4 linked regions of the Oreochromis niloticus genome follow. The protein of the gene in region 1 purifies or fractionates together with the protein of each later gene. This does not show direct contact. Links are inferred from orthologs where the notes say so. Each region holds a gene or a part of one and is shown in the gene's direction. Other genes may lie near its edges.

Region 1 (7,432 bases):
TGTAAAACTCTTTCAGCTGCCTTTCCTGACACCGTTTTATGTGCACACATCTTTTTAGTCCTTTTTGGAAAAGTAAGCACTTGTTGTTGATTCATGTGCTGAAGGCACTATCCCAACAGTCAAGCTTCATTTGACTGGTTTTTTACAGAGTCAGTGAAAAGTACACATTTTAAAATGGTAAACAGTAAACTTGCAAATACTAAATCGAACGAAATCTGTCCTGGACTTTAAAGGACACCTGATTTCTATGGATGCTTTCACACAGCAGTCACACGTTCTAAGTTCATCAGGAGATACAGGATTCCCAGAAACTGGAGTATGAATCACAAAACCACACTGTTCAGCCTGAGATCTGCTTTGAATGTAGGCTTCTCCAGCTTCCATCTCATGCTCAACACCCTGTTTGGAGGGTGTGTTAGAAAATCTGTGCTGTGGGTTACACACCTGTTTCACAACAGTCAGGCTGGCCTTTCAAAACTTGTGGCATGTATAAAGCTGTAATTATTCCTGACGAACTCTCAGTAGCATCAGTCACACATACAGCATCTGTGCATTTCTCACAGTCCTGCTGAAGAAGTTTCAGGTGATCTGAGTCTTGTCGATTTATCGTACAACGATGTCACGCTTGAATTCCTGAGAAACCAACAGCTTTGCGGCGCTGCAACAACGTTCCAAGAAGTGGCTGCAAGTCCTCGAGTTTTGCTCGTGGGCCTTTCCGTTTCTGGGACTAGTCCTCATGGCGGGCATGGGGGAGCCTTCACTTGTGCTGTGGTCAAACATCTTCCTCTGTGCAGCTGAAGTGGTTAGCTCTGTGTCCCAGTTCAGCGTTGATCTTTCGCATATTGCTGAGCAAAACCCAGTAAGCTGGACATCTGTGGCTGTCCTTGTCCCCCGTATCCTGACTGTTGCCTCCACTACTGTCCACGACTCTGCCGTACAAGTGCAGTGTAAAATTTTATGAAACAGCACACATCTCGTAAGCTATATCTTTGTTCACACAGCAATGTTTTCACAGTTTGGAGGTTTCAAAATGTCCAGGTCATGCTCCCAGCCACTGGTCACAAAATCACAAAATCATGTTACCATGTAGTCACTGCCATCACACACAAGTATGCAGAAACATTGGGAAATGTGAGGGGAGGCCTCACGGTCTGATATCCAGTCATTTTTCTGAAGCTCATAAGGACCCAATGATGATCCAATTAAGCTGATTTTTTTCAATCTGAGGTGTCTTAATCCAGCATTAGTCCATCTGTACAGTCTGTTTTCATTCAGACTTGAGAAGTATCAAAGAATTAACTGGTAGTTTAGGTTTGTGGCTTCAGCCACCCTATAAGGCACTGTGCAGTGAATCCATCAATGGAATGAAGGGAGATACTTAATAGATACTGTAAGGAAAAGTTAAACTGTGGACAATAGAAATTCATCAGATTGCTGAGCCGCTAAGCACAACTACAAAAACTCAAAGCCTCAAAGATTTTCCACCTCGCAATCATCAACAAGGAGCTGAGGTCACCGAGCCAACGACGTATTTTCTGGGTAGCAGATCGAAAAAGGAAAAACATCACCTTAAACAACATTACGGAAAATATGTTTGTGTGATCGTGACATTGTCAAACTGGTAACTTATTGCTCACTGAACTGTATACATGTCATAGGGCTGTTGTTACACACTTCAATATAATTTAGGGACCTGTAAATGTGCCCGTCTGCCCACACGTTTTCATTTGGATAGCAGGCGGAACGGGGTTTTCACCCACTGCAAACACGCTCCTGTGTAGCCCTCCAAAATCCAAACGAGGATGATATATGCTTTGGTCAAATGCCTACTGGTTCACAAGTGGGCCAGAATAAGGAAGGAAGACAATGGAGTTCACCAAGAACAGGAGTGTGAAGAAATAGTCAAAGGTTTGTTTAAAAAAAAACCCAAAACAAACCTCTGTGCAGGAAGACTGCCTTACATTCCCCCTACTGAAGTTCATCCAACTTTATTTACCTTGTCTGTGCACTGAACTCACATCAGTCCTGCTGGAACAGAAAAAGGTCCTTTCGCAGAACTCTAAAAACAGCCGTGATACGCTTCTTTCTATGTCCAATAAAGGAGAAGACAGCCTACTGACAACACAACCCTGCTGCCCGTTGGACTGCTGAATGATAATAAAAACAAGCAGGGTTGTCCTATGTCCTCATCCAAAGATACACCTGCAGATGTCATTAGTTACATACCGAGCTCTGGTGTGGTTCCCTCTCATTCTGCGAATCAGCCAGACTTAACGTTTGTCAGTCACAACCTACGAGTCTCAGAAAAAGACACCTACAAGGTCAGCCTTGCTAAATCAATTGTCCCCGTTATTGTGTATGTGAGAGAGGAGCTCAAGGTGAATGCCTCTATTTACATTCCCTGGTGTGCAATGAAAAATGCATGACGCAGACGAATGGCTGTGAGGGCATTTTTGCTGCTCACATGAATATAGAATCACAGTCAGTAAGGACAGATTGTTGGGTGTACATGACAGTGGCTTTGGTGAGCTTACTCCACGTTTGACATCTGACAAACAGCTGCAGCATGAAGACTGTGCTGTTAACTGTGAATGAGAGCTGATACCACATTTTAGTTTTTGGTGGGGTTGGTTAGAGTGATACAGAAGGACATCATTTCAGATCTCAGGGTAAGCTGCTAACATCTCTGTAGACATCTGCGTGTTTCCAGTTGTCAGGTGAAGACAAACATACTGAAACCAAAAGTTGGAAACATACCAGTGGTTCGTCTTGGGCTTTTGCCAAAACACATTCGGAAGATGTTTTCTTTCACCGTCGGGTGCCAAACTGTCACAACAGCTCAACCGGTCACCGATTACTGAGCGAGTCTACACATAGATCCCACCCAGCAGGGCACTCACAGTCCCGTGGATTCAATCTGTTCTTTTGTCTGAGGCTAAAGGCTCAATAAAACAGTTCAGAGTTTGGGTTTTCTGTCCGGCTAACACCCCTGAACCTTTTCTGTACCCGGCTCTGTAGAGAGGGAATTCCCACTTTTGGCTCGGATTTCTAGCAAGGCTATTTCGGTGTTAATGGTTGAGTGACGACTGGCCCAATGATTATTATAGTTTTCATTTTATTAAGTTCAGTTAGGTGCATGGGTATATGCCGAATTGATGTGCATCTGCCTATGACTCTAAAGGTCTCGTATGGTAAACATACACTTGTTTAATGAGAAACGGGTTTAAATCTGCTCAGATGTTAGACCAAGTTCGGGGGAACCCTCTTTAGTCAACATCAAACAGCTAATAAAGCTGTATATGAGGGGCCAGCGAGCTCCCGCGGCCCGGATCGCCTGTTTTGTTGGCTATGTGTGAAGAGTTAACAGCAAGACAGCCTCGCAATCTTTATACCCGCCGAAGAAGATAAAGCTGAAGGACACACTTGTTCGACATCTCTCCTCTCCAGCAGCGGACCTCAGTGACCGCTGCCAAATCTGCTCCAGCACAAAAGACAGAATGGATGCCCCCGCCACCACCACGACCACCCCGCCCCCTTCCCCACAAAATAACCCAATAAATCTTCGTTGTCTTCATAGAGTTGACTCCATTAGCGAAGAATATGAGCAGCTCACCTTTATAAGCTGGCTGGACGTATGTGTTATAAGCTCCACTGTTTATTCTGTAAATCCGCAACGCTGCTCGTCCGCTTCTTTTTACTGTCCGCTGCTTTGACTGACTGCTTGAGAATGTGGTGAAACCGCGACTGTCACGGTAGCGACCGTTACGAGCACAGTTTCCGGTTTAATCTGTCAAAATAAAAGCCTGTGGCTTATTTTCCCCGAAGACTGCCTATAAAAAATAAGATTCATATGCTGCAATACACTTTAACTCAAATGAGGTTAAAAAATTACACTGGCGATCTGTTAAATCTCAGAAGTAATTTTTCACTTGTGCACGAGTAGACCTGAGGCTTGTAATGTCCATTCACCCAATGTCAATACTCATAGAATAGTTTTGCACTCGTTAGCCTATTTGCTTTATCTTCCCTGATCCTACTGTGTAACATGTTATTTCTAACCATTAATTTTTAATTTGGATTTTATTTTGATACCAGTGAAAATTGCCGAAAAAAATAACAAGGAATAAACAAAAATGTCAGTCTATAATGCAAACTAGTTCAGATTTTTTTAACTGAATCAAGCAACTGATTTAAAAAAAAAAAAGCCCTCCGAAGAAGATGAGAAGAAGAGGATGAATGGACGCATTTTATGTTAAGACACAGAGTTCACACTTCCGGTCTATTTCTCTTTTACCAATCCGACGCTTGACGGCTCCAGACTGCCTTCGTGCGCGCGCCTACGCCAGGGTGCGCTGTGTGTTATGTCAGGCTTTGATGATAGTGTAGACTACAAAGGAAGTGCAAAGAGAATACCGAGCACGCGGCACAGACCGTGCACGGTGTGGTGCCAACCCATCACGTTGAAAAAGTGTACTTTTCAGAAGCAGTTTTTACATTTCAGTAATGTAAAGACCAGGGATCCTCTTGAAAGGAATTGCTGTTATGCCCATCAACTCATCTAGCTAAAAAGGTCAAAATATAAACGAAACCATTACTTTCAACAATTTGTGTCAAAGGATTTCACGGTAATTGTCTAAAAATAAACTGGAACCAGTGTTATTATTAACTGTCGAAAGGCTTCAGATAAAAAAATATAGAAGTATTGTACACAGACATTACCACGGCGGAACCCTTCCACGGGTTCATGTTTCTCTTACGGCTAATACAGTGCGGGCCGTTAGCTCGTCGACATGCGCCATTGAAAACAAACGTACAAGATACGGCGGGTATTGCCGCTTTCCTTCATTTGTATTCTACCCCATTAGAAACCTTAATTCGTCTTTAGCAAACGTTCGACATTTTTGCGGACAATGGAAACTATATTAGAACAACAGCGTCGCTATCACGAAGAGAAAGAGAGGCTAATGGATGCTAAAACTAAAGAAATGTTACACAAGAAGTCGACGGTGAGTGGTGCCACTTAAGGCTAGCTTTAGCATTGTTACGCTTGGTCGTGAATCCCAGAAACCCTGAAATTAACATTTTTCTGTGTGTTTTTTTCCAACTCTCGTTTCAGCTGCGTGAACAAATAAATTCTGACCATCGAACAAGAGCGATGTTGGATGTAAGTAAGAGTTTGGACTCATTTAAAACTGCTCTCACCAACTGGCTAATAGTATTTGCTGGAAATTCAACGAATAACTAACCTTTCATAAAACCCCAGTTACAATTTTGTAAACGTGCAAAGAACAATTTATTAGCAGATTTGATGCATTTTCATACATTAATCACAGAAAAGAGGTCAGATAAAGAATGTAATCAGATGTACTGAATGAAGCGGTGTCACAACGAAATGACACTCCAAAAATCTGCCCCAAGTGCATCAGAGGTCATTAAAACTAGGTGTAAAATATAAATGGTTAAAACCTGACTTCAGAGACGCACATTGGAGACAAAGAATCACTTTTGATAATTAGCAACTTTTCACTGTTAATGGTCAACACTGGTAAAAAGGTATCTGTGCTTCTTCTTGCAGAGGTATATGGAAGTGAGCGCAAATCTCAGAGACCTGTATGAAGACAAAGATGGGTGAGTGTTTTCTTAGCGAACAGTTATTTCCACTCAAATATAGATATGTTGGCTGGACCTTTGTGCGGTTACAGGAGTGGAGGAACAAACTTTTGAGCGGTTATTTGAAAAGTAGACCAACTAATGGTGTATTCACATGAGAAGCCTGAAAAATCTTGTGACAGTCAGGATGGGGACGTATTTCTAAGTTGCCCTTTCTTACATGTAGCACATGACGGGAGATGGTTAACGTCAGCTCCAATCTCACCACTTCTGGAAATGATGTGAATCTGCTATAGCAGCAGTCCCAACCCCGGGCCTCGGACCGGTACCGGTCCGTGAGTCGTTTGGTACCGGGCCGCGAGAGTCGAGGCTCAGGTGTGAAATGTATGGTTTTCAGGGTTTTTATCGGTTTTCAGCGTTATTTTGTTATCGTTTTTATCGTTAACTCGGTTTTCCTGGGTCTTTTCACGTGTGTTATGAATAAAGCTTCTTTTTTTCGGTACCGGCACTAGTTTTATTTTGTTGTATTTATCCGCGACACCTTATTGCCGGTCCGTGAAAATATTGTCGGGCATAAACCGGTCTGTGGCGCAAGGTTGGGGACCGCTATGCTATAGGGCTGTTCAATATAACGATATATATCGGATGACGATATAAAAACATCTATCGTTTCATTTTACGCTATCGTTTGTTTCGTGGTGTCGCAAAATAAGCTGTTTACGGCAATATTTTTTCATTATTTTGATGGTCACTGTAGTGGCTATATTAATTTCTTAAAGTTCTCTCTTTCTCTTATATTTAATATAACCACACTACAGACAGACAAGCAACTGTTTTTATCCGTTGTCGTTAGCAACAACGACGGTGAAACCACCTCGTGTCCGCTTGTTTATTTTCCACATAAACCTTTCACAATAAAGCTCAAGATCCTGTTGAGACTTTTCAAAATAAACTGAATTACATGAAAGAGTATGCAGAGTGTTTATGGATGAGAGTCACCAGGTGCTAAAAAATAAACCTTAGACTCAAACGTTAGAACAGGCTTTTCCCCGCAGCACGCCGTGTGATAAATACTCACAAAGAAAACGGCGGCCGTTACAACCTATGTCTAAAAATGTATAGTTTCATGCATCGGTTAAAACACTCGACTCCAAGTACACAACCCCAAGCTGGAAACACTTCCCGGAAGTCGAGCTGCCAGAGATTGACAGAATTTACAGAAAATGTTAAATTTTAGTGATTTATATCGTTATCGGGACGATAGATGTCTTAATATCGGGATATGAGATTTTGGTCATATCGCACAGCCCTAATCTGCTAGACTATTGCCTGCTCTACTGTGGCATTGTTGTTGTTCTCTAACTTGGGATTCACACACACACGGGTTTATTCACCAATCTAGTAGCAAATCACTCAGAAACACGACAGCTAGATGACAATAAGAAATACTTTATTTATCCCATATTTCTCAAGTTTTGTTGGTGCAGGAGTTTAAATGATGAGGAAATAATAGTAATATCACAAAATGCCCCTCTGTCACACACAGGAGACCCATCGTCAATGAGAATAGCGCTACACCAAACCAATTGTGTGCCTCTTCTAGACAGGTTGCAGTAAGCAGCACAGAGGAGCCGGCTACTGCAGCTGGGCATAGCAGTATGTTAGGCATGTGAGCAGGATAGAAGACCAAATGACACCAAATTGTGAAGACAAATGTGAGCTGTAGCATTACTGAAGACACCTGAAAGGACATGCCCAGGGCTCACAAGATGAGGACACTGTTGGAAAAGACGGGTCCAAAGAAATATTCTGGAGATATTGT
Region 2 (7,884 bases), on another chromosome or scaffold:
CACACAGACACACACACACACACACAGACACGCACACACAGACACGCACACACATACAGACAGACACACACACAGACACGCACACACATACAGACAGACGCACACACAGACAGACACACACACACACAGACGGGGACACACACACACAGACGGGGACACACACACACAGACGGGGACACACACACACAGACGGGGACACAGACAGACACACACACACACACACACAGACAGACACACACACACAGACACACACACACACACAGACACACACACACAGTGCTAGAGGGGGACCTTGCTGTGTATATGGGAGCTGCAGGCTCCTCTGTGTGTTGAAATGATGATCCTGTTATTGTTTGAATGACCGTGAATTCGTTTATCTCCTTTCTCACATGCAGATGCTCTCACAGGCCAATCAGAACCAGTCCCAGCTCACTCCTTCGGCGTCCTCTTCCTCTTCATCCTTACAGATTCCTCCCCCTCCCTCTCTCCCCCCACCTCCTGGACTGAGCCCAGCCCAGTTCATTCTGCACGGCTCCCTCCCATTGGTTAGCTGCACTAAAACTCCACCTTCACACCTGCACCCTTCAATAGGTGGTGGATGCGCTCAGACTCCACCCTCCATCGTACCTGTGGGGATGACGGGTGTGTCTGGGAGTTCTAGTGACACTGGATGGGACAATGAGAGCAAAGACCCGGATAAGGTAAACTGGAACTGTGTTGTTTGTTTGTTTTTGTGGGTTCCTTTATTTAACATGATGCTTACCTGAACTGCACAGTACCTGAAGAAGCTGCACACACAGGAGCGGGCAGTAGAGGAGGTCAAGCTGGCGATCAAGCCTTACTATCAACGCAAAGACATCAACAAGGAAGAATACAAAGACATCCTCAGGAAAGCAGTGCATAAGGTGAGCCTTCACACACAAATCCAACCACATACTGTTTTATATATCACATGGCTCATGTTGACTTTGCACTTTGCAGCTTAAAGTTTACAGTGTGGCTAAAACATGCAGTATTTCTACAATAAAACTATGATGTTTCCACTGAGATCCTGGTACCATGCCTTTGGGTAATGCATTAACAAATAAATGCAATAATATACATTCAGTGAATTGGTCTTTATCAGTAAAATAATATGAAATAAGAATAATAAAGACAAATATATGGATATTGACATTATTAGCATAGTTTATTTGCATTAGTCTCAGATTAGCTTGGATTCATTGACACTGGCACTAGTCTCTTCTTCTTCTGATTTCCCTATAAGCGCACACCTGAACACATCTGCACACACCTGAGCACATCCTCGCACATCTGCACACAGCCTCACACATCGTTACACATCTGCACACAGCCTCAGTGGCCAGAGAAGGTGAGGTGAAATGATAATGTTGCTGACATCAGGTTTTTTAATCACAAGAGCAGTAAAAGCATCCTGGCAACTCTTACAGAGAACGTAAGAACAAAGAATCACCATCTGTACATTTCATTCATGCAGACTCACATGAAACACAGTCACACTCTGCAAACATACAAAGGAACGCTGTTGGTGCCATGGGCGTGAACTACTTTGTAACTGCTGACCCTTTGCTGTTAGCTTTCTCTTTGCTATGCTAGCTATCAGCTGCCAAACAGTGCCCTGCTGCTGTGTAGTGCACCTGAGTGGATTGTCCTGCTCTTTCATTGGAGCTTTTATGATGGGATTGGACCAGCATCTGGTCAAAATGTCTGAACTGTGCGTCCATAAATGAAGTTATGTTCTTCTGTTCTGAATTGTTACTGACTGTTTAATCACACTGTGTCTTTATCTTAGATCTGCCACAGCCGCACTGGAGAAATCAACCCAGTCAAAGTCAGCAACCTTGTGAAGCTGTATGTTCAGCGCTACAGATACTTCCGTAAACACGGGCGCAAAATGGACGAGGAAGAAAGGGATGACAGGGAGCCAGGAGCACTGCATCCCTCTGCCTAATACAAGACTTTTGGGTGGGGGTGGGGGTGTTCCACCTTTGCCACAATCTGCTCAGTACGTGAGCAGTTCACTGATTGTCATTGCCTAATTTTATTGTTTCCATACCTTCCCTTGTCTATACTTTCATGTAGAAGTATGTATCCTCATCGCTGTAATCATGTTGTAAATATTCCTTTCCAGATGTATCATGAACACAAGGTTCAGTAAGTAGATCCTGTCTAGACACTCGTGTGAGCTAGTACAGTCCCGTATTGAACCCTGCAATAAATCCTACCTTTGTCAAGGGTCTAGTGCTTAGTTGTTGTTGGTTGGATTTGTTAGAAGTGTCTCAATGGTGGGACTAATTACAGGACCTTTTTTAATAGTATTGAATTAAATGTTTATGATGATGATCTACCCCACCTCTCCTTTATATCAACATCCAAACTGAGAGGAGATGTAATACCCAGCTGCACACCAAAAGGAGTTAAACAATACTAAACAGAAGAACTGCGTGTCCCCCGTGTCCCTGTGTCTTTACAGGCAGCACGTAGGCTGTTGGTCACTGCTGATTTCTCACTTCTTTTATTGTGTATTCTGTGCATGTTACTGAGAATGACAGTTATACTCAGCCTCTTTATAAAATGACCAACACACTATAAATGTTACTTAACACTGGTAAACATTGTATTATTTATTTTGTCTGCTTTCTGTCAGTTGTTTCTGTTCATAGAGAGACTGTTCAGGATTTTCTCGACGCGTCTACCACAGCTGTAGCTGCTGCTGTCACAGGCTAGACCAGTTTAACCACCCTGAGACTGGGTAGGGTCCTAAGGCTGCAGCCCCTGAACTTGGACACAGCCTGTAGACTAAACTATAATAATATAACAGACTGTATATAAATACAAACTCTGGCCAGCTGTGTCGATCAGTTATCTATTTTGGCCCCAGCTGTTCCTAATAAACACTACATGATGGTCCCAGGTGACCTTCGTTACATAAATGTACATACAACCCACTAACACATCACTTTCCAAATTGAATTCATGTCCAGAGATGAGACACAGGCAGACTAGGCTAACAGGTTTGATGTTACAACACTAGTCAAATATTACTGTGTAATATTTGTCCAAAACACATTTCTTTGTTATGGAATAAAATGAATTCTAAAGTCACAACCAGTAGGAGTGGCAATTTCTAGAACTTCATCTGTATAATTGGACATTTCTTACCAGCGTAAACTAAAAATAAATACACAAAACCATTTCATTTAGTTTACTGGTTTATTTGCAAGACACAAGAACGTGAAACCCTGAAAGTTACAAATGTAACGTGCATGAAATGGGAGGTAAACGCGCCAGACCTGATGAAGTCAAGCTGCCTGTAGGCTGGGGCGCTTGGCCACAAGGGGGCAGTAGTTGGCTGGAAACTGGTTTTATGGTATTTTATTGGTCAAGAGCAACAAGAATGACGAACTGTTTCATAACAGGTGTCGAACTCCAGGCCTCGAGGGCCGGTGTCCTGCAGGTTTTAGATGTGTCGTTGATCCAGCACAGCTGATTAAATGGCTAAATGACCTCCTCAACATGTCCCGAAGTTCTCCAGAGGCCTGGTAATGAACTCATCATGTGATTCAGGTGTGTTGACCCAGGGTGAGATCTACAACCTGCAGGACACCGGCTCTCGAGGCCTGGAGTTCCCCACCCCTGGTTTTAAATGTAGCCACACAAACGGAATATCCGGTGTTTATTTCCTGGTTTGGCGGAAGCGTTTATCACACATCTGTTTGACCGTCTCCAGCTCATCTGGAAGGCACGTGCCGTGCCAGGCTAGGTGTCCGCGACAGAACGGGAGCGCGCACGGGGCAGGGAGCGCGGATCCACATGACTCCGCCTCCACTGCAACAACTAAAGTGGAAGTAGTGAGTTTTACTGAAACAGTGAAACACGAGTGTCGTGGGTTACAGCAGGATACCTACCATACATCCTGTTTACTGCACGTGACTGTGACCATTGGTCCACTACCAGCCATTTCATTTGGTACAAATCCACTCTTCCACGTTTGCGTGGGTTTCCTTCTGAGCACACGCAGCTCCCTGCACCACCTGTTCACGCCGTGTTTACGTCCCTCCTACGTTACTACGATCAAGTACGAGTCCACTAACTTTATTCTCAAAATGATCAACAATGTGTTTTCCTTCTGTGGCCCTAATAAAATAATAAAGTTATTATTTTATTAATGTACAATACAAATGAATTATTGCCAGTTTGCCTTGAAACAACTGTAATCTGTATATTTTGACTTGATTTTTAAAGTAGCTCTAATATTCCGTCGTAGCTTCGTATCTTCATAAGAACCAAAACAATCCAGTTATTTTGGACTTTTTCTGGAACAACAATCGCTTTGGCGCATACACTATAAAGAATGTGAAGAGTCAGAGGGTGTGCGTCTTTCTTTTCATAAATTAATGCCGACTCAAAGCTTCTTTTTTTATTCGCAAAATCAACATACAAACAAAATGCACCATATTATACATTCAGAAAATATAAACTTCTTACCAATTAGCAACCTTTGTACAAAGAAAAAAAAGATATAAAGACGGGGTCATAAAAGTTAACAGAGTATTAACTCACTAAATCAAAATCTTCTAAAAAGGAAACAAAAAAAGCAGCCTTTTTTTTTAAAGTCAAAGATTTAACCAACAGGTTTAAGTCGTTTTTCCAGTGAAGTAGGGTTGGTTTGGTCTTAAAAAACGACATTTATGTATATATTGCTTACACGAGATTAATAAAACACCATAATTGGTTTTCGCTTCCTTCAGAAACACTCCAAACAATATCATAATGTCGACTCAACGCTTAATTCTCAATCAACTTGGCATTTCCTGAACGATTCGGGTTTACGACAATTGTCGTTATTTTGCGGCATCCCGCCATTTTATTTGCGAACTCGACACAGTTAGCTATTTGTCGCCGCTGCACGCTGTGGGTACCTTGAAGATCAGATTCTTATTACTAATAGATCCAAATATATTATCTGCTTCAGTCGAAGTAAGTTTGTCACAAAGGAACTACCTGATCTCGCGCTTCTTCTTCTGATACATGATCTGAAATTTGCTAAACACTGGAGGAGAGAAGGTAAGACTCCGCGGATCCTGCATGTTAGCATTGTGTGCTTCGTGCTAATTCGAAAGGCTCAATTAAACGCTAAACATGTCGATAGAACTTAAAGTAAAACCTGTCAGCGCATACATTTCAGATATCGATGCCGTGTTGTTTGTAAGTTAAGGAAGATGTTGGGTGAAAATGAAACGCGTGCTAGCCATATGGTTGTAGGAGTGTCGTCGTAATCAGGACAACAGTTAGCATGTTACGAGAACTTCCGCTCTTGAGGCTGGCGCGTGCTTCAATGCCCGGATTGACCAGCATATAAGTGTCAATGAAGTGATCCCCTTGTTGTTGCAATAGGTGAAAAATGACGCAGTTCCTACCACCCAACCTCCTGGCCCTCTTTGCTCCACGGGACCCAATACCTTTCTTACCTCAGCTGGTAAAGTTACCCCACGAAAAGCACCACAATCAGCCCTACAGTGGGATCGCCCCGTTCATCAGACATTTCGAGGTGAATATTAAATCTTCTGTGCGCTTTGGTTAGCCCTTCTTCTTCCGTCCCACATTAGTCCTGTTAAATATCTCCTTTCTCTGACCAGGACCCGAGAGATGCACCGCCTCCAACAAGAGCAGAGACCCGTGAAGAGCGGCTGGAGAGAAAAGTGAGTATTCACAGCACTTCACCTGTTCCATTTGTCCACATTCGTTCTCTCTCCTACACACAACAGCCCATAATGACACAGCAAAGAACGTTTGACTGAAAGCTTTGCAGACTTGGTAAAAGTAAGACTGACACTGTGTAAGAAAGCAGTTCAGATTGTCTTGATGCATGCTCAATCATCCAGGAAAGTAAATCTCCAAAAGTTGATTCTGTTCATCTGGACGTAGCGTTTTGTGGGAGAAACATTTCGTCACTCATCCAAGTGACTTCTTCAGTCTCAGCTGACTGCAGGTTTCCCCGATCTTATAAACAGTACATTTGCAGAATGACTGAAACCAGCCCACTGAAGGAACAATGGGCTGTGAGGTCAGTTCCTTAATCTTAATTATGCAAATTCTCATGACCATTGATCAACAGATACTGACCAAAACCCACTGATCAATGGCCATGAGTACCATTCATCTTACAATGCTGTGATTGCAGCCATTCCCCAACTCTCTGTACCCTCCTTCACCTCGATACAATCCAGTCTCTGAGGACAACTCTTTGAACTTCACGGCTTGGGTGTGTTCTCTGACGTGGACTGTCAGCTGTGGGACCTTTATACAGGAAGTGTGTGTCTCTTTCCAAATAATGTCCAGTTCGCCTTATTTACCACAGCTGGGACTCCAGTCAGGCTGTAGACATAACATCTGACAGATGATCAGTGGAAACGGGATGCATCTTTTAACTTTCTGGGGTGTTTTGTGAAGAATTTTGAGGTGGAAATGAATTTAATCCAAGGCTGAAAGAAAGACCGTGGAACAGATGAAGCTCTGTGAAGTCTGTATGTGTCAGGTTTTCTGAGAATCTCATGATAACGTGAGGAAAAGACAACGATCATTAAGAAAGCTGAGCACTAACCATTTCCTGTGAATCTTTTGTTTTTGTAGAGACGAGAGAAGATTGAGAGGAGGCAAGCAGTAGTAGAGACAGAGCTGAAGCTTTGTAAGTTTCTGACACGGCACACGCTCTGCAAACTCTGCGTGATGTGGTGATTTGGCCTAATCTTGGTTTTCTGTTTGCATGCTATCAGGGGACCCTCATAATGACCCCAACGCACAGGGCGATGCCTTCAAGACTCTGTTTGTGGCACGAGTGGTTAGTATATTCAAATAGCTGCCTATCCAAGTGTGTTGGGTTTGGGGTTTTTGGGCGGGGGTGTTACCTCTATGGACTGTGTGAACTTTAAATATCTTCTTTCTACAGAATTATGACACCACCGAGTCCAAGCTTCGCCGAGAATTTGAAGTGTACGGCCCCATCAAACGGGTACGTTAACACGGTCCTGTCTGAGTAATGTTGTGCTTAATGTCATATTTATTCATTTAGTACTTTTTTTCAGTTGTCGCGTACAGTATACAACTGACGTCGGCACACTTTTCTGCGTTGTTCTTTAATTATCAAATGTAGCAGTGCAGAGATGGTAAATGGAACAGAGGGTATTTGAGCCACGCTTACAGCCATCCAGATTCAGCTACGCCTGTTCTGCATCGAGTCTAACAGTATTAGTGTTTTGAGTCATGCAACAATCCCCGGATTGTAAAGAATATCAAGGAAAACAGTTAGCCTTTAAAACTGTTGCAGATAACTTTCTACAGGAAGAGAAATTTAATGTTACCTCGATTATTGGAATACTTTCCAGCTGCTGTAATAATTGTATTGACTGTCGGGCTCCACCAAAAAGTACTAGACACGTGTCCAGTTGAAGTCAGATGTCTTTCTAAAGGTGCTCTGACATGAAATTTTCCCCAGATGTCACTAACAGCTCATCTATTCAAATCATGGCTGTCCATAAATGATGTGCACGAATGAGAAATGACACAGAGAGAAAGTGTTGAAGGCCAAGTCACAACACCGGCTGAAATCTGTCAGTAAGGAGAAAACATTCCTGCTTCACTCAGATTAACATCAGCTCATTCAATCCCAACCTGCAGAAAGCTGTATCGTTACCGAGGTGTCACACAAGTAAGGTCTTATTATGAGGAGAACCAGTGAGCTCTCTCATGACTTTGGCAAACTGGTGGCACTGGTTACAGAAACATCTCTAAACTCTGCAGCAGTGTTGGGCCGTAGTGGAGGAGTGGAAGGAACATCATTTCACCATAAACTGGTCACAGAAG
Region 3 (7,814 bases), on another chromosome or scaffold:
AGGAATAGTAATATGTGTGCCTCTTGGCATAGGCACACATAATTAAGAAAGATAGAACCAAGAAAAAAAAAACAAGAAAAGACAAAGACAGACTATGCTAAAAAATGTGATGCCACAGCACTAGTCAAATTGGTCAAGAGTAATAAGAATGGCGAACTGTGTTTAAATTATGTCACAAAATGTCAATGATGAAATATACAGTGTTTATTTCCTGGTTAGTCTGTAGTGGCTCCTGAAAAGCAAGTCTACCACACCGTCACCAATTTGACTGAGAGCTCAAAGCTCAGTGACAAGAACGCCTGACTCCGGGTCAGAGGTAGTAAAAGTACAGACATTCTCCACTTATCTGTTCTTCCACTTAAGCTGAAGAACAGATATTTTTGTTAAAAAATGCTCCAGTAAAAGTACTGATTTAACATCTTTACTCAAAAGTGAAATAGTATAGTCCTTGAAGTGTAGCTTCTCAAAGTACGTAATCATTCTCCATCTCTGACAGAAGTTAGCTCTCATTCTTTTCTCTCCCTGGAAATACAGCAGCTGGACCTTTATCCAGCAACACACTGTGCAACAAATTACACAGGAACTAGAGGTGGGCAGATTGATCCAAATATCGACAGTATCGATACCAACACTGGTATCAGTATCAGACTGATACTAATGCAATTGGATTGAATCTTTTTTCTATCCTCAGTTTTCAGTATGAATCCCACTGAACTGTGTTAAATACATTTTTAGTGTATTTTTAAAAATATTTTTTAATGAAAAAATATAGCTCAAAATAGTATATAGCACAAATGGTAAAATGGTAAATGGCCTGTATTTGTATAGCGCTTTACAAGTCCCTAAGGACCCCAAAGCGCTTTACACACCCAGTCATCCACCCATTCACACACACATTCACACACTGGTGATGGCAAGCTACATTGTAGCCACAGCCACCCTGGGGCGCACTGACAGAGGCGAGGCTGCTGAACACTGGCACCACCGGGCCCTCTGACCAGGGCCCGGGCCCTCTGAGTTACACAAGCTCCCTTTATAGGTTAAAACTATCAGTATCACTAAATTAAGGAAAGTATTGGTATTGGCAATACTTTCCTTAATTTATTTTGTACTGGATCGATACCAAAATTTGTAGTATCGCACAGCACTAACAGGAACAGTTTGTGTGTTTGCTCATGTTTTTTGAGCTGACAGAAATGTTTTAGAAACGTTATGTCACTGCTCCAGAAATGACCAAATGACGTGTTTTCACTATTTGTTAAATTCTCTTGCAAATACCAGCTGTACATTTTGGGCGTCTACTAAAATAAAAATAAAAGAATCCTAACATCAGACCCGTTTTTTTAAAAATTCATTAAGTAGCATGAGCTGTGTACACATGTGTAATGTATTTATTGTGTTTTAGTGTTTTACTATGAGTGTTTAACTGTATTTAGCTAATTAGACAGATCATATAAATCTCTGGATGTTTACAATGGCCATGAATACTAAAGGCAGGAAGTCTTTTCTGCAACCTTTCCCAATTGTTTCACATTGATGATCTTTTTCTAGCCAATCATTTGTGCTGAAAAATACAAATGTTAATTGAAGAAAATGCACATATTAATCACAGTAAAATTACGAGGGGCAGTAAAAACACTGAACACAGAACGCAAGTACGGACTTGCGTAATCAAGTATTGGACGAGAGACAGCGGTAAGAGGAAAGGAGGGGGACTGGCAGTGTTTGTGAATGACAGATGGTGTAACCCTGGGCACATCACTGTAAAAGAACAACTCTGCAGCAGAGACATTGAGCTGTTAGCCATTAGCATGCGTCCGTACTACCTGCCCCGGGAATTCTCGCATGTTATCGCGATAACAGCGTATGTCCCCCCCTCGGCCAACACGGATGCAGCCTGTGACACTCTCCACTCAGTGGTCAGCAGACTGCAAACACAATCTCCGAGAGCCCTTCTCATAATATCAGGGGACTTCAATCATGCCTCACTGGACTCCACACTGCCCACCTTCACCCAGTATGTGACCTGCCCAACCAGAGACAATAAAACACTGGACTTACTGTATGCCAATGCAGAACAGGCATACAGTTCATCACCTCTCCCTCCCCTGGTCAGATCTGATCATAACCTGGTGCACCTTGTCCCTGTGTATGAGCCCTTAGTGCGCAGGGAGCCACCAGCCACCCGCACAGTGCAGAGATGGTCGGAGGAGAGCGAGGAGGCTCTTAAGGATTGTTTTGAGTCCACTGTGTGGGAGGTGATCTGTGACGACCACGGAGAGGACATCGACAGCCTTACTACATGCATTACTGACTATATTAATTTCTGTGTGGACAACACCGTACCTACCAGGACTGTACGGTGTTTCTCCAACAACAAACCTTGGATTACTCCAGAAATTAAAGCTGTCCTCAAGCAGAAGAGGAGGGCCTTCAAATCCAAAGACAAAGAGGAGTTTAAAAGGGTGCAGAGAGAGTTGAGGGGACTGATAAGGAATGGGAAGGATAGCTACAGGCAAAAGATGGAGAACCAGCTTCAGCAAAACAACGTTGGTGAAGTCTGGAGAGGCCTCAGAACCATCTCAGGCCACAAACATCACAACTCTCTGCCTGGGAGGGATGTGAGGTGGGCAAATGAACTGAATCATTTCATTCATTCATTTCTTCAACAGATTTGATTCAGCCATGAGGCAGTCTCCAACATCGGCTGCAGACTCACCCACCCCCACTGCTGCTGTTCCACCTCAGACACTTCACACCTCCTCTATTCACCCTGCTCACTCCTCCCAACCCCCAACAACAGCATCCAATACACACTCAACACAAGGCTCCAGCCTGTCTCTCTCAACCACCCAGGTTAGGAGGGAACTGAGGAGGATTAAAGCCAAGAAGGCAGCGGGTCCAGATGGCATCAGCTCGAGGGTCGTCAGGTCCTGCGCTGACCAACTGTGTGGGGTGATGGAGCACCTCTTCAACCTGAGCCTGAGGCTGGGAAGAGTCCCACAGCTCTGGAAAACCTCCTGTGTTGTTCCAGTGCCAAAGACTTCACGCCCCAAGGACCTCAACAGCTACAGGCCGGTGGCTCTGACATCCCACCTGATGAAGACCCTGGAGCGGTTGGTCCTGGCTCAGCTTCAGCGCCTTGTGAGCTCATCACTGGACCCACTTCAGTTTGCCTACCAACCTGGCATTGGAGCGGATGATGCCATCATTCACCTCCTACATCGTTCCCTCGCTCACCTGGAGACCACTGGGAGCACTGTGAGAATCATGTTCTTTGATTTCTCCAGTGCCTTCAACACTATTCTTCCCTCGGTTCTGAAGGACAAGCTGGAGAACTCTGGAGTGGACCATCACCTCACTACCTGGATTTTGGACTACCTCACCGACCGACCACAGTATGTGAGGACTCAGGGCTGTGTGTCGGACAGGGTCGTCTGCAGTACGGGGGCCCCACAGGGAACGGTTCTGGCTCCGTTCCTCTTCACCATCTACACTGCAGACTTCTCCCACAACTCCACCCAGTGCCTACTGCAGAAGTTCTCTGATGACTCTGCAATAGTCGGCCTCATCACTGATGGGGACGACAAGGAGTACAGAGGACTGACTCAGGACTTTGTGGACTGGTGCCAGCTGAACTACCTCCAGATCAATGCCAGTAAAACCAAGGAGCTGGTGGTAGACTTCCGCAGGCACAAACATCCTCCACTGCAACCACTGAACATCCAAGGTATGGACATTGAGGCTGTGGACAGCTACAGGTACCTTGGTGTTCATCTGAACAGCAAACTGGACTGGACTCATAACTCAGACGCCCTCTACAGGAAAGGGCAGAGCAGACTGTATCTGCTGCGGAGACTCAGGTCGTTTGGAGTAGAGGGCCCACTCCTGAAGACCTTCTATGACTCTGTGGTGGCCTCAGCCATCTTTTATGGTGCGGTCTGCTGGGGTGGCAGCATCTCTGCTGGGGACAGGAAGAGACTGAACAGGCTGATCCGAAGAGCCAGCTCTGTTCTAGGATGCCCTCTGGACCCAGTGGAGGTGGTGAGTGACAGGAGAATGGCGGCTAAGCTGTCATCCCTGTTGGACAACATCTCCCACCCCATGCAGGAGACTGTGACAGCACTGAGCAGCTCCTTCAGTGGGAGACTGCGGCACCCACGGTGTGGGACGGAGAGATTTCGCAGGTCTTTCCTCCCCACTGCTGTCAGACTCCACAACAAAGACTTTAACTGATCAAACACACACATCCACACATGTGCAATAACACTAATGTGCAATAATCTTTTCTGGCATCGTTGTATTTTTACTCAGTTGTATATAGCATTTGTATTCTATTTTTATCTTATTGTATATTTTATTCTATTTTATTCTACTGTATATAGTATTTTATTTTATTCTATTCTGTACAGTTGTGTACTGTATTTATTCTTATTTTATTTTATTCTAATTTTTGCTTCATAACTTTTGCACTGTCCACTTCCTGCTGTGACAAAACAAATTTCCCACGTGTGGGACTAATAAAGGTTATCTTATCTTATCTTATCTTATCTTATTGTCAAACGGCAAGTGTCGACACACTTGTGCCACACACTCCACGAGGCGTCATCTACCCGTCACTGTTAGTAAAGTGCTTAAAACAAACGAACAAACAGATCCTATTATGCCCGACAGGCAAAATCTACCGGGTCACGTCCCTCAGTTAGGACCATTCCTAAGCAAAGTGGAAGGATCAAAAAACGAAATGTGCATGCAACACCACCCTCCCTCCGCGGGAGGCGCTATAAAAAATAAAGCAAACGTTGTCGCCACGTGATAGGAAAGATGTAAACCTTTTGTTCCGGGCTGCTTGGTGTAGCGGTGTACACTCGCTTTGCTGTGAATTTAGGAGACGTGATAAGGTTCCTTTTTGTTCGTTGAGATGGTGAAGTTGTCCGCGGAACTTATTGAGCAGGCTGCTCAATATACAAATCCCGTGAGAGACAGAGAGTTGGATTTAAGAGGTGAGTTAAATTGTCCTTAATACAGCATACATAGAAAGGCCTGTGCTCATTAGCTTACGCACATTTTACGCGGGCCTTAACGTGAGCCTCATTCAAAAACTTAACTGGATAGTGTTCAGTTTCATACGAACTGCTGCAGAAATAATGCTGGCTTATGTCTAGACACAACAAGGCGGATTTCATCATAATGTACTGTATATTAAAAGGGTAAATTGAGTCATTCCATCTGAAATCTTAGAGAAAATAAAAACCCATAACATTTTCTGCTCAGCCAACTCAGATTTGCCTGAAAATTGTATGTTTTAAAACGTTTGTAATAATTGCGATTAAATTTTGTCTTCATATATGAAGACTATGAAGACTTAATATAAATTTGGTTTCAGGGTATTTTAGGTGAATTGAAATCTGAGAATATGTTTGAACATAAATATCTCTGAAGATAAAATTTGTGCGTTTTCTCACCAAAAAATGTAATTGTGGTCAGCTAGTATGGGCTACAAATCCCATCATAACAAACAAAAACATACATTATTAAAAACATTCTTGATTATATTTGAATAATCTGTTAATTCAGGTTACATCATCACCAAGCTGCATTCTGATAGCACTTAAGGGCAAGCAAATGTTTGCATTCATAGAAAGAGAAAACCCACGGTAAAATAATTGGATATACAAAATGATTGTAGATGATTGTTGTCAGAGCTGACATAGTTATCTGCACACATTATGTGTGTGTTAGTGAGGAGCCGTGATAAGGTTCCTGTCAATCTGCCCCAGGGCAGCTGTGGCTACAACTGTAGCTTGCCTTCACCGGTGTATGAATGTGAGAGTGAATGAATAGTGGTATTGTAAAGCGCTTTGAGGGATCCCGAAAAGCGCTATATAAATGCAATCCATTATTATTATTATTATTATTATTATTTTAACTGGATGACTTTTAATCTGCTATTAATCGCATTATATGCATAATTCCATAATGAGTTAAAAAGTTGTGTATTGTATTTTAGTACTATTGCTATATGAGCAGTCAGATACTTTCAGGATATTTTTCTTGTTTTATTTATTTTTTTACATATGCTTTTTAACAGCAGTATTCCTGCTGCGCAGTAGCAGTTAAAGTAGCTCTTTAATTTCACCTTAACCATGAACCTGATCTAATAAAATCAAATAGTTATTTGTCAATTACAGGGCATTGACATTTTGTCTAGTTTGTTTTAGAAAAACAAGTTACCCTCAGTTCAATGTCACAATTATAACATTACAAACAAAACATGTTACTTCAAGAGATGTTCCTGTATTATTAAAATGTGACAAATTAACACCCAAAAAACGAATAAATTGCGACTGAGAAGTGTGGTGCCTTGTGTTGTGCATTGTGAGTAATGGCCATTATTCTACAATTCATGGAAACCATTTTAATAAAAGTTAAAATCTAAAATAAAATAATTCATCCAGCTATTTTCTTCTGCGTATCTGAAATCAGGTCGCGGGGCCTAAGCAGTTAAACCCAGACCTCTCTCTTGCAAATCGCTCCCTCTAGCTTATCCAGGGAAAACACTGAGGCATTTCCAGGCCAGCCAAGAAAGCCACCATGTCCTGGATCTACCCTGGGGCCTCCTCCCAGTAGGACATGCCCAGCCAGAACACCTTACCCAGGAGGCAACAGGCTCAATGGCTCCTTTTGATGTGCAGAAGTAGCAGCTCTACTTCGAGCCCCTCCCAAATGACTGAACTCATACTATGCTGAGAGAGAGCTAATGCACCCTTTGGAGAAGGTTATTGGCCAGTTATAGGCCAATACTGTGCCTTAGCATGGAAACTCCTGTCATGCATCATAGCAGGCAAGATGAGCAGGCTCAAAACACGAGTAGGGCCCTGAAGGGAACTGACAGAAACACCACGGGGGGAAAAGATCGGCTACTGGTAGAGCATCGAGCTGTGAATTGTGATGAATTGATATCACTCTCACTCCTGTGCCAGGAGTGAGAGTGATATCAATTCACTGATCTACAACAATGATATCAGAATGTCATTTGGAACAGAGATGTGTAGTCAGATAGTAGCAAAGAAAGGGAAGATGCTATCTGTATTTTAATTATTTTATTTTTTTGTTTTCGCCCAGGTTATAAAATCCCAGTGCTTGAAAATCTTGGAGCTACTCTGGATCAGTTTGACACTATAGATTTCTCTGATAATGAAGTCAGAAAATTGGATGGCTTCCCTTTGCTTAAAAGACTGAAAACCTTGCTAATGAACAACAACAGGATTTGGTAAGTTAGAGGTGTGTGTGTCTGTGTACGTGTGTTATTGAAAAAAATAACACTGCAACCACTGTTGTCTTCACCCGATACCCTGGTTGTATTATAAGGTGCTCAAAGGAGGAGATATTGACATAAAGACAAAACTCCATACCATGCATGAAGGATTACATCTCAAATCCAGCACTCTGCAAACATATGCTTGCCGAAAGATGGCTGAAGACTGAGTGTCAGAACCACTATCCAGGGCGAAACAACAAAGCTCCTTGTGTAATCCAAGGGCATAAATGGAACACCATAACCAGATACCTGGGATAGCACTCGGCCATGGTGTCTGTTGCGTCTATTGGAGTGTGAATCTTTGCGCTTGGATAGAAAACAGTGGTTGTATGAAAAGCTATGGACAATGGGTCTAAGGATTTGGACTCATTGCCTCATCAGCTGAAGTAGGGGTGGGCGGTATAAAACGGTATATGGTAGAAACGATATAAATTTGGCCAACGGTAGAGATTTTGACTACCGCTCTACCGCAATCCGGTTGTTCAGTCTGACG
Region 4 (7,493 bases), on another chromosome or scaffold:
AGCTGGGACGTTTTTACCTTACTGTTAGTAAGGGTCCAAACCATGTCCCATAATTTTAAAAAGTTAGTTCTTGAAGTGGTGATTATGATATCAAGATTGTCTGGTTGCTTAGCTGAGCGGTGTTGAACTATAATGATTAAAGCAACTAACCATGAGAACACTATTAGAAGTTTCTGTTACTGGATACATTTTCATTTGACATGGACCGATGCTCTTCATTTCCATGATGCTAAAAATCATAAATAAAGCAATAAAAACAAAATTTGTTGATATCATTCAAAGCAGATTTGCTACATATCTAATCTTTTTGTGTTGTTGTAGGACTTGAGGTTTCACTACAGTAAACCATTTCCTTTAATAGTAGTTGCACTGCAACGCCTCTCCTGGACTACATGGAGAGTCATTTCACCCAAATTACCCAGTTCAAATTTAGACTTTTAGGAACGTGCTCACTGTACACCTACATAGCCCGTGTTACATCTACTAGTTTTAACATTCCAACCGCCAACACTGCAATATATCAATAAGAATAATAACTTAAACTAAAGGGAAATTCATGTGTCTGACTTAGTTCATCTGCCATTTGTATGAGAATTAAAAAGCCTGATGGCTGCAGGTACTGGGGTTTGTTTTGGTTCCATAAGAAGTTGTAAAATGGGTGATAAAAGTAAGATGAGTGTAATATATACACACAGACTAATATTAGTCCTAGTGCCACACTCTTGAGACATTTAGTTTCCTTTTAGTTTATTAGTATTGGTTATAGGTCACGGCTTTTGATCATCACAATCATGCAAATAGAGAACTTACTGATAGCGGAAGTACTGATGGAGTAATGGGAAATATCAGTGCGACTCTCTGCAAAACCAAACCATCATTAAGCACACATGTCAGCAAAGTATGGCTAACACCATTTTCCTTAGACAGGTGCTTACCCGTTGTTGTTGCCCTCGTTGCTTTTGGTGGTTGTGTTGTGGTTATCCTTGGGTCACCTGAAACAGGACAAAGAAATGCATTTTTTTTTTTTTTTTTTTTAAACTGAAAGTGGGAAAGCTCAAAAATGTACTGTATGGATCAGAGACCTATTATAGATTATAAATCTATTATCACCGCATTCTGGCTGAACGTATCATTGATTTGACTAAGATCCAACTATACAACATGTCCAGGGTGTTCTATAGTTAGACAGTCACATCCCTTTTACTTTGCATTAATTCAGTTCTTCATTTCACTGCATTCTCATGATGTACTTCTCTACACATCACCTGTCTATCACCACACACACACTATGTCTTGGTTCTACCGACTTTCCTTCCTTCACTTTTCCAGGCTCTCCTAAACCTCCTCCCTGCTTCCACTAAAGATCGTAATGTCATCTATGAACATCATAGTCCACACAGACTCATGTCTGACCTCACCAGTCATTATCATAGCAAACAAGAAGCAGCTAAGAGCTGGTCCCTGATGTAATCCCACCTCCACATTGACCTCATTTGTTGCTGTCCTCATACGCTTCCTGCATCACCCACACATTTTTCCTGTGCCACTTCTGATTTCCTCATGAAGTACCAACCTTATGCTTTCACTAGATTAAAGACAGTACAACTTCTGGGGTATCTGGTGAAACAAATCTTAGGAAACAGGAGTACACAGCCTTGTGGGATGACAACAGGAAAGTTGGACAGCTAATGTGGCTAAGATTGAGTACAATCAGCAAGGCGGCAACTAGGAAAGTCAAAACAAATACAAAGCACAAGAGACAGACCACCAGAGTAAAACAGGAAATAACAGACTTAACCATACGAACTTGCAGAAAGATGACCATGAGACAAAACTGGAGCAACAGAAGAACTAAAAGCAAAAATAGAGACTGAAAAAGCATTAGATACTCATCTCCATCTGCATGATAAACAAAGAAAACAAAATGAACAAAAAAAACCCCCCAAAAGAAATCAAACCCATAACACTTAAGTCTGGGTACAAGACCCAGGGAAAGTGACATTTTATCCCCACTATAACTCTGCACATCACTGCCGTTCTTGTAAAAATAAATATCAGCACCAGTGCACTTCTTCATTCCTCGGGCATTATCTAATTGTGTTACACAGCGTCTCAAAAAGTCCACTGCACTCACTTCCTCCTTACTAATCCTCTGGATCTCCTAAGTTACTAAATGTCCTTCCTCTGTTCTCCCCTTCACATTTCCCTCTTTCATGAAACCTTAAAAGTGCTCCTTCCATACAATGTTTTGAGTCTATAGATTACATTTCATATTGCTATGCATGCTGGAATGAAAATCTGTTTCCTAGCGGGTGAATAAATGTTTGTAGTGTGTACAAACAGGTGCATGCATGAGATTTTCACTCTGAAACCACTCCCCTAGAGAAAATATTCCCTCATTTCCTTTTACAGTAGATAATGTCACCTTTTCACCAAGCTAGGCAGTCTAAAAAGGAAACTGCTCACCGGTGTCAGCTGTGACAACACAAAAACAAACCACATGTGGGTGGCTTTGCACTGCACCCAAAAGGAACCATTGCATTCTCTTATCTCTTGTACATTTCAGACTTCCAGCCAGACACCTGCCGTCAACAGTTCTAGTATGACTCTGCAGTTGATGATAAATCGGAAGGGAGGATGTGCCAGTGTACTAGAGAGCGTGGGACGGTTTAGTCAGCTGGTTTGAGCCGAACCATCTCGACACACGGGGCTGTCAGTACTGTTGATGTTTTATCAGTAAACAGTGGCCCAGTGTGACTTGTTCAGCCAGAGACTGACAAAGACTAAATAATCCACCGATAATCATGAGACATCCTTCAGTTGTGCCGCCATGCAGATTATAAAATTCCCGTGACACTTTGAGCAGATACCAGGCACCAGCCTACACTCTGCATTAATATTTTAAGTTCCTCTAGGGCATGCATGTAGGGGCTGGCCTTCTATAAACCGTCTCCACCCATTCATCCAGAGCGGACTTTCAGGGTTACCTAGCGATTCAGTCATCCCCTGGGGTAATGACTGAACGTAACAGCTCCCAGTTTTCAAAGCGGTAATGGATAATGATAATGGATTCATGTTATGATAATACCAGTACTACTACTTCTGAACACTCAAAATTCAGACTGTCAGTAGCTACTATTAGCTGTAATCTAAGAATCTCGGGTTATAACAAATACGGGTTCATTGATACTGAATTTTTTAAAAATTTATTTATTTTTTAAGGCCAAATCTAATGTGAATACTTGAAAGTTGACCAAGTGGGCACCAAGTGGAACTTTTTACACTAAAAGGAAAAAGAAAAGCAACAAGCCACAGTACCGCTGTTTCCAAATAACCTCAGCTTGGAACTTCAAGAGAAGTGAAGCCTCTTTGAACCATTCAGCTGTGTTTGGGACCTCATAACAATGTACTGGTCTACATATGGGTGGATAGAGAGATTTTTTCACTTTGATATGGTGTTAAGAAATGTACCAGCAAATAATACTTACGTATACACACCAGCCATGGTTCGCTCCACTGTGGAACAGCTCCCCGATCATTGCATCTGATTAAATTTGAGGTTCCCACTTGTCTCAGGTAGCCATCCTTACATTTGTAGCGAAAAATGTCACCTATTTTGAAGCAGCCTTGTTGTGGGAGATTTGTTAAATTCAACTTTGGGATTTCTGGACATGGACAGCTGTTATCTGTAAAAATTAATAATGATAACTTTTTAAAATAAAAATCATACGATTTAAAATAAATAACCAGTATATTTTTGGTGAATGGTGTACGTAAGTTCCATAGTACATGGCTATAAGTTAGAATTAAAGGAGGCGTTAATAAAAACTTCGACACCATCACATACACATCAGGTTAACCCCGATTCTAAGCCCAAAATTTAGCAGGATTCATAACGATACACTTGCGACTTTCAGCATTTAGGTTTCACTATGAAGATTTACGACACGGAACTGACTCCGAGACGGTGAGAAACAATGATTTACCAAAAAACAAACAAAACACAAATCAAGCCGCAGGTATGTTTTCAATCAGCAATTATCCCCCTCCGACATATCTCACTGGTGTAAAATGCTCAAGTGTGCGAGTTTATGCCTTCTATTTGAACGACTTGTTTTTGAAGGTGATCAAATTTTATCACTGATTAAAATTTGATTAAAACATAAAGAAAACAAATCGCGACATGCGCATTTAAAGCACTTTCTGGACGTACTCGCATGTACGCTCGAGTTGAAATTTGTTTGCACTTACCGCTGCTGGATAATTGAGGCCAACAAACTATCATAACGCAGACGGAGAAAGCCAGTGAAACCAAAGCCATCGGACACCTCGGTAGTGACTTAAAACATGTTCACTAAATAAAACCTGGCCGTTAAAGACCATCGTCGCTGTCGCCACGGTATTTCTTTGCGTTCACACTTTCGCTTTATATCATGCCACTCCCCTTGTGCTCGTGTGTGATCCGCCCATTTTTAATAATAGGGCATATTTCTGCAGAAATCGCTGGTTGCGCTGGTCATCCGGGCGCCAGATGGCGCAAGATCGTAAAATGCTGGCAAATGTTAGCTCTTGTTTTTGCGCTCAGGCTTCCGTTACGAGCAGTAAGGAGGTATATCAAATATGCTGGTTAGCCCTCTTTAAAGAAAAAAGGAGAGAAATATGAACTGATTTGTGATTAATTTCAAATTCTATATAACACTGGTAGCCAAAGAGACAGTGGAACAAATGTTGGGTTTTTCTTAACACATTGCATAAGGAGCAGACATTAGCAACATTAGCCTCAGCCTTCGTTTGCTAGCTAACGTTTCACAGTTTCTCCTGGGAAATTTACTTCAGGATCAGCGACAAACGACCGAATCACAAAAGGTTATACGGAGATTTGTGATTTAGCTGTTGCACGTTATAACCGTTTTTAAATTTTTTGCTTTTTCCAAGCAGTGAAGGACTAAATAATGATGACGTAGCAAGGCTCGATAAATATTGAGAAGTGAAACGTGTTTGTGTGTCCGAAGGCAACAGGACCACTGACGGGCAGCAATGTCGCTCTATGATGACCTTGGTGTGGGTGCCAGTGACACTAAGACCGAAGGCTGGTCCAAGAACTTCAAGCTACTACAGTCCCAGCTAAAGGTGAAGAAGGCGGCTCTGACACAGGCCAAGGTGCGTGCAGTACTACACATGTATTATAGTGGGCTGTCATTCAATCAAGCTTAACGTGCACTTTTGTTTATTAGATGGTCAGAAATGATGATACTTGTGCTTACATTTGTGTGTACATTTGTATTAGCGTGTGAAAAGGGCTCTTATTTTTATATTTTTAAATAATAATGCAATTTAATTAACAAAATATTTTATATTAATTTACATTTGGTCTGAAAAATGTTATGAAAGTCTTGAATGAAATCTGGTCTAGTACACCCCAGTCGAGGCTCACCGGTGTTTGCCTCAGGTATCTCTTCTATGTAAAACTGAACGGTTGCTGTCAGCCTTCATTAAGCTGTATGATTTAAACACAGTACCAGACTATGTTAATGGTTCTGCACATTTTAATAAAACTTCTGCAGCTTTACATGACTGAAGAGCACGTTTGGGGTGTGGGATGTGCAGCCAACATATCCGCTGCAACTGGATGTCATGCCAGTATTGAACAAAAAGAATGTTTGATTTGCATCTTCCTCACAGCAATCGCTCACCTCTTAAACGTTATTTAAAAGAATCTTCCACCTATGTGCGCATCACACTATTAAAAACTGCATGCTGGACCATGATTGGCTTCTAAAGCAGAGCATGAGAAAGTCAGACTTTAAGGCAACAAAAAAAAACCCCATATCAGTTCAGCTGAAACTGAGCACATCCTAATGAGTTCAGAGTAAGAAGTGATGTTGTGTCTTTTTGCTATGCTGATTTTCTGTTTGATGTATTTCTACAGTCACTGATTAGAAGAAGAACAAGGTTACTGGTTGTTTTGTTTATGCTTTTTTTTTTTTTTTTGGTTTTGTTTTTTTGTAGACCCAGCGGATGAAGCAGACCACTGTCTTGGCGCCTGTCATTGATCTTAAGAGAGGAAGTTCCAGTGATGAGCGACAGATCACAGACGCTCCTCCACATGTTGCAGCTGGTCTCAAGGTACGGCTCACAGTGTTGGTTATGGATGGGTACCCAAGACTGGTGTTAAACTGTTACTGGGTTGGTCAGTATGGAAATATTGAAAAGCAGCTGGACAAATTATGCTGTTTATGCAGCATTACTTGATTCTTAAATATCTGTTAGACCCAGTCTTCTATAATGACAAAACTGGTGGTGATTGTGTCTGACGTTGCTGTGTGTTCACATTCTCTCTGATCATGGCTGTCAGGCTGAATGTTAAAAAGCAAAGGCTCGCTTCAAGACGGGTAGGTAGTTGCATATTAGCAGAGTAACACCAGCAACCTTTGGAAAGCTTTACAAGGATTCTTTTAGTCAGTGCTTCCTCGGATATGATGAGATTTGCTGAACTAAAAATAAAACTTTCCAAATAAAGTCAAGACTGAATGTTGTTTTTAAAATAAATCTGCTCATTTGGCTGATAAGCAGCAGCCACTGCTTCTTTAGTGGACACTGGTCAGATACTAAAGTCAAGCTTATTCTCAGTTTCTACATGAGACAGGAAGAAACAGATTTACAAGGCTGTTTTCACGGTTCAGTGAGGAGCAGAGATGGGCAGTAACGCGTTACTGTAATCTGATTACTTTTTCAAGTAACGAGTAATGTAAGGGATTACTATTGCAAAAACGGTAATTAGATTACCATTACTTTCACGTAGGAACGCTGCGTTACTGCGTTACTAAAACCGTGATTTTTTTGCGAGAATGTCTCATGACAGTGACGTAAGCGAGTGCGACGTTCGTGACAACAGCTGTGTGCAGATCAACAATGGATAATATATCGAGTGCGGGAGAGAGTATGAGCATGCAGCGTTTAAAGCGTGGAAGTACTGACCTTATTTTGAGTTTGATTCCATAAAAAGTGACAAAAACATTAGTGTCCGTTGTGCGTGGGAAGAAAACTTCTTTTTACAGCGAAAACCCCCCCATAAACTTCCAAGCAAGCACCGAGTGCGCTACGACGTAATGTGAAATTCACAGAGAAACTCGCGGATTCTTCCATTGACCGCTGCGGCACACCTGCACCAGGGTAAACCTCCGCCTAACCCACTCCTGCTTTACAGGTGAAAATAGAGCAACACAACCGCTAGTCTTTGATTTCATTTATTTTCTGCTGTGTTTTACTTGCATCTATTTGAAAGAGTGAGTGTAAACACAAAAAAATATTTTATTTTATGTGCTGGAATGTGCAGAAAATAGGTTTAAATGTTAAACAAATTTCTTCCAGTCAGAGAATGTTGCATATAATTAAATTTTTGCTTGATGCATAAAGTTAAAAGATTTAAAGTTTAAAGTTTTAAAAAGAGACGTTTCCATTTGATTACATTTTGTATGATGCATTATGCAGAA

What was found.
Region 2: the proteins of sf3a3 (region 1) and snrnp70 fractionate together in Homo sapiens (co-fractionation; 3 studies listed by BioGRID). This does not show direct contact. The link is inferred for Oreochromis niloticus from reciprocal best matches to the Homo sapiens genes SF3A3 and SNRNP70.
Region 3: the proteins of sf3a3 (region 1) and snrpa1 purify together in Homo sapiens (affinity purification with mass spectrometry; 6 studies listed by BioGRID and IntAct, counting the BioPlex papers as one, with this or other methods). This does not show direct contact. The link is inferred for Oreochromis niloticus from reciprocal best matches to the Homo sapiens genes SF3A3 and SNRPA1.
Region 4: the proteins of sf3a3 (region 1) and rbm17 purify together in Homo sapiens (affinity purification with mass spectrometry; 4 studies listed by BioGRID and IntAct, counting the BioPlex papers as one, with this or other methods). This does not show direct contact. The link is inferred for Oreochromis niloticus from reciprocal best matches to the Homo sapiens genes SF3A3 and RBM17.

The regions. Positions count from the first base shown.
Region 1 is NC_031985.2:38,727,451-38,734,882, reverse strand, and holds the start of sf3a3 (splicing factor 3A subunit 3), read left to right. Parts: upstream 1-4,417; 5' UTR 4,418-4,910; coding exon 4,911-5,006; intron 5,007-5,116; coding exon 5,117-5,164; intron 5,165-5,575; coding exon 5,576-5,628; intron 5,629-7,432. UniProt on the Homo sapiens protein: Component of the 17S U2 SnRNP complex of the spliceosome, a large ribonucleoprotein complex that removes introns from transcribed pre-mRNAs.
Region 2 is NC_031969.2:2,185,008-2,192,891, forward strand, and holds the start of snrnp70 (U1 small nuclear ribonucleoprotein 70 kDa), read left to right. Parts: upstream 1-4,877; 5' UTR 4,878-5,088; intron 5,089-5,418; 5' UTR 5,419-5,425; coding exon 5,426-5,572; intron 5,573-5,660; coding exon 5,661-5,723; intron 5,724-6,654; coding exon 6,655-6,709; intron 6,710-6,797; coding exon 6,798-6,862; intron 6,863-6,970; coding exon 6,971-7,033; intron 7,034-7,884. Other genes in the region: scaf1 (splicing factor, arginine/serine-rich 19), read left to right, coding at 396-701, 777-905, 1,814-1,972. UniProt on the Homo sapiens protein: Component of the spliceosomal U1 snRNP, which is essential for recognition of the pre-mRNA 5' splice-site and the subsequent assembly of the spliceosome. SNRNP70 binds to the loop I region of U1-snRNA.
Region 3 is NW_020327524.1:105,984-113,797, forward strand, and holds the start of snrpa1 (U2 small nuclear ribonucleoprotein A'), read left to right. Parts: upstream 1-4,809; 5' UTR 4,810-4,921; coding exon 4,922-5,003; intron 5,004-7,125; coding exon 7,126-7,273; intron 7,274-7,814. UniProt on the Homo sapiens protein: Involved in pre-mRNA splicing as component of the spliceosome. Associated with sn-RNP U2, where it contributes to the binding of stem loop IV of U2 snRNA.
Region 4 is NC_031981.2:35,258,899-35,266,391, reverse strand, and holds the start of rbm17 (splicing factor 45), read left to right. Parts: upstream 1-4,480; 5' UTR 4,481-4,609; exon of another isoform or gene 4,610-4,866; intron 4,867-5,012; 5' UTR 5,013-5,037; coding exon 5,038-5,160; intron 5,161-6,009; coding exon 6,010-6,126; intron 6,127-7,493. Other genes in the region: il15ra (interleukin-15 receptor subunit alpha), read right to left, coding at 811-858, 936-992, 3,489-3,686, 4,252-4,321. UniProt on the Homo sapiens protein: Splice factor that binds to the single-stranded 3'AG at the exon/intron border and promotes its utilization in the second catalytic step. Involved in the regulation of alternative splicing and the utilization of cryptic splice sites.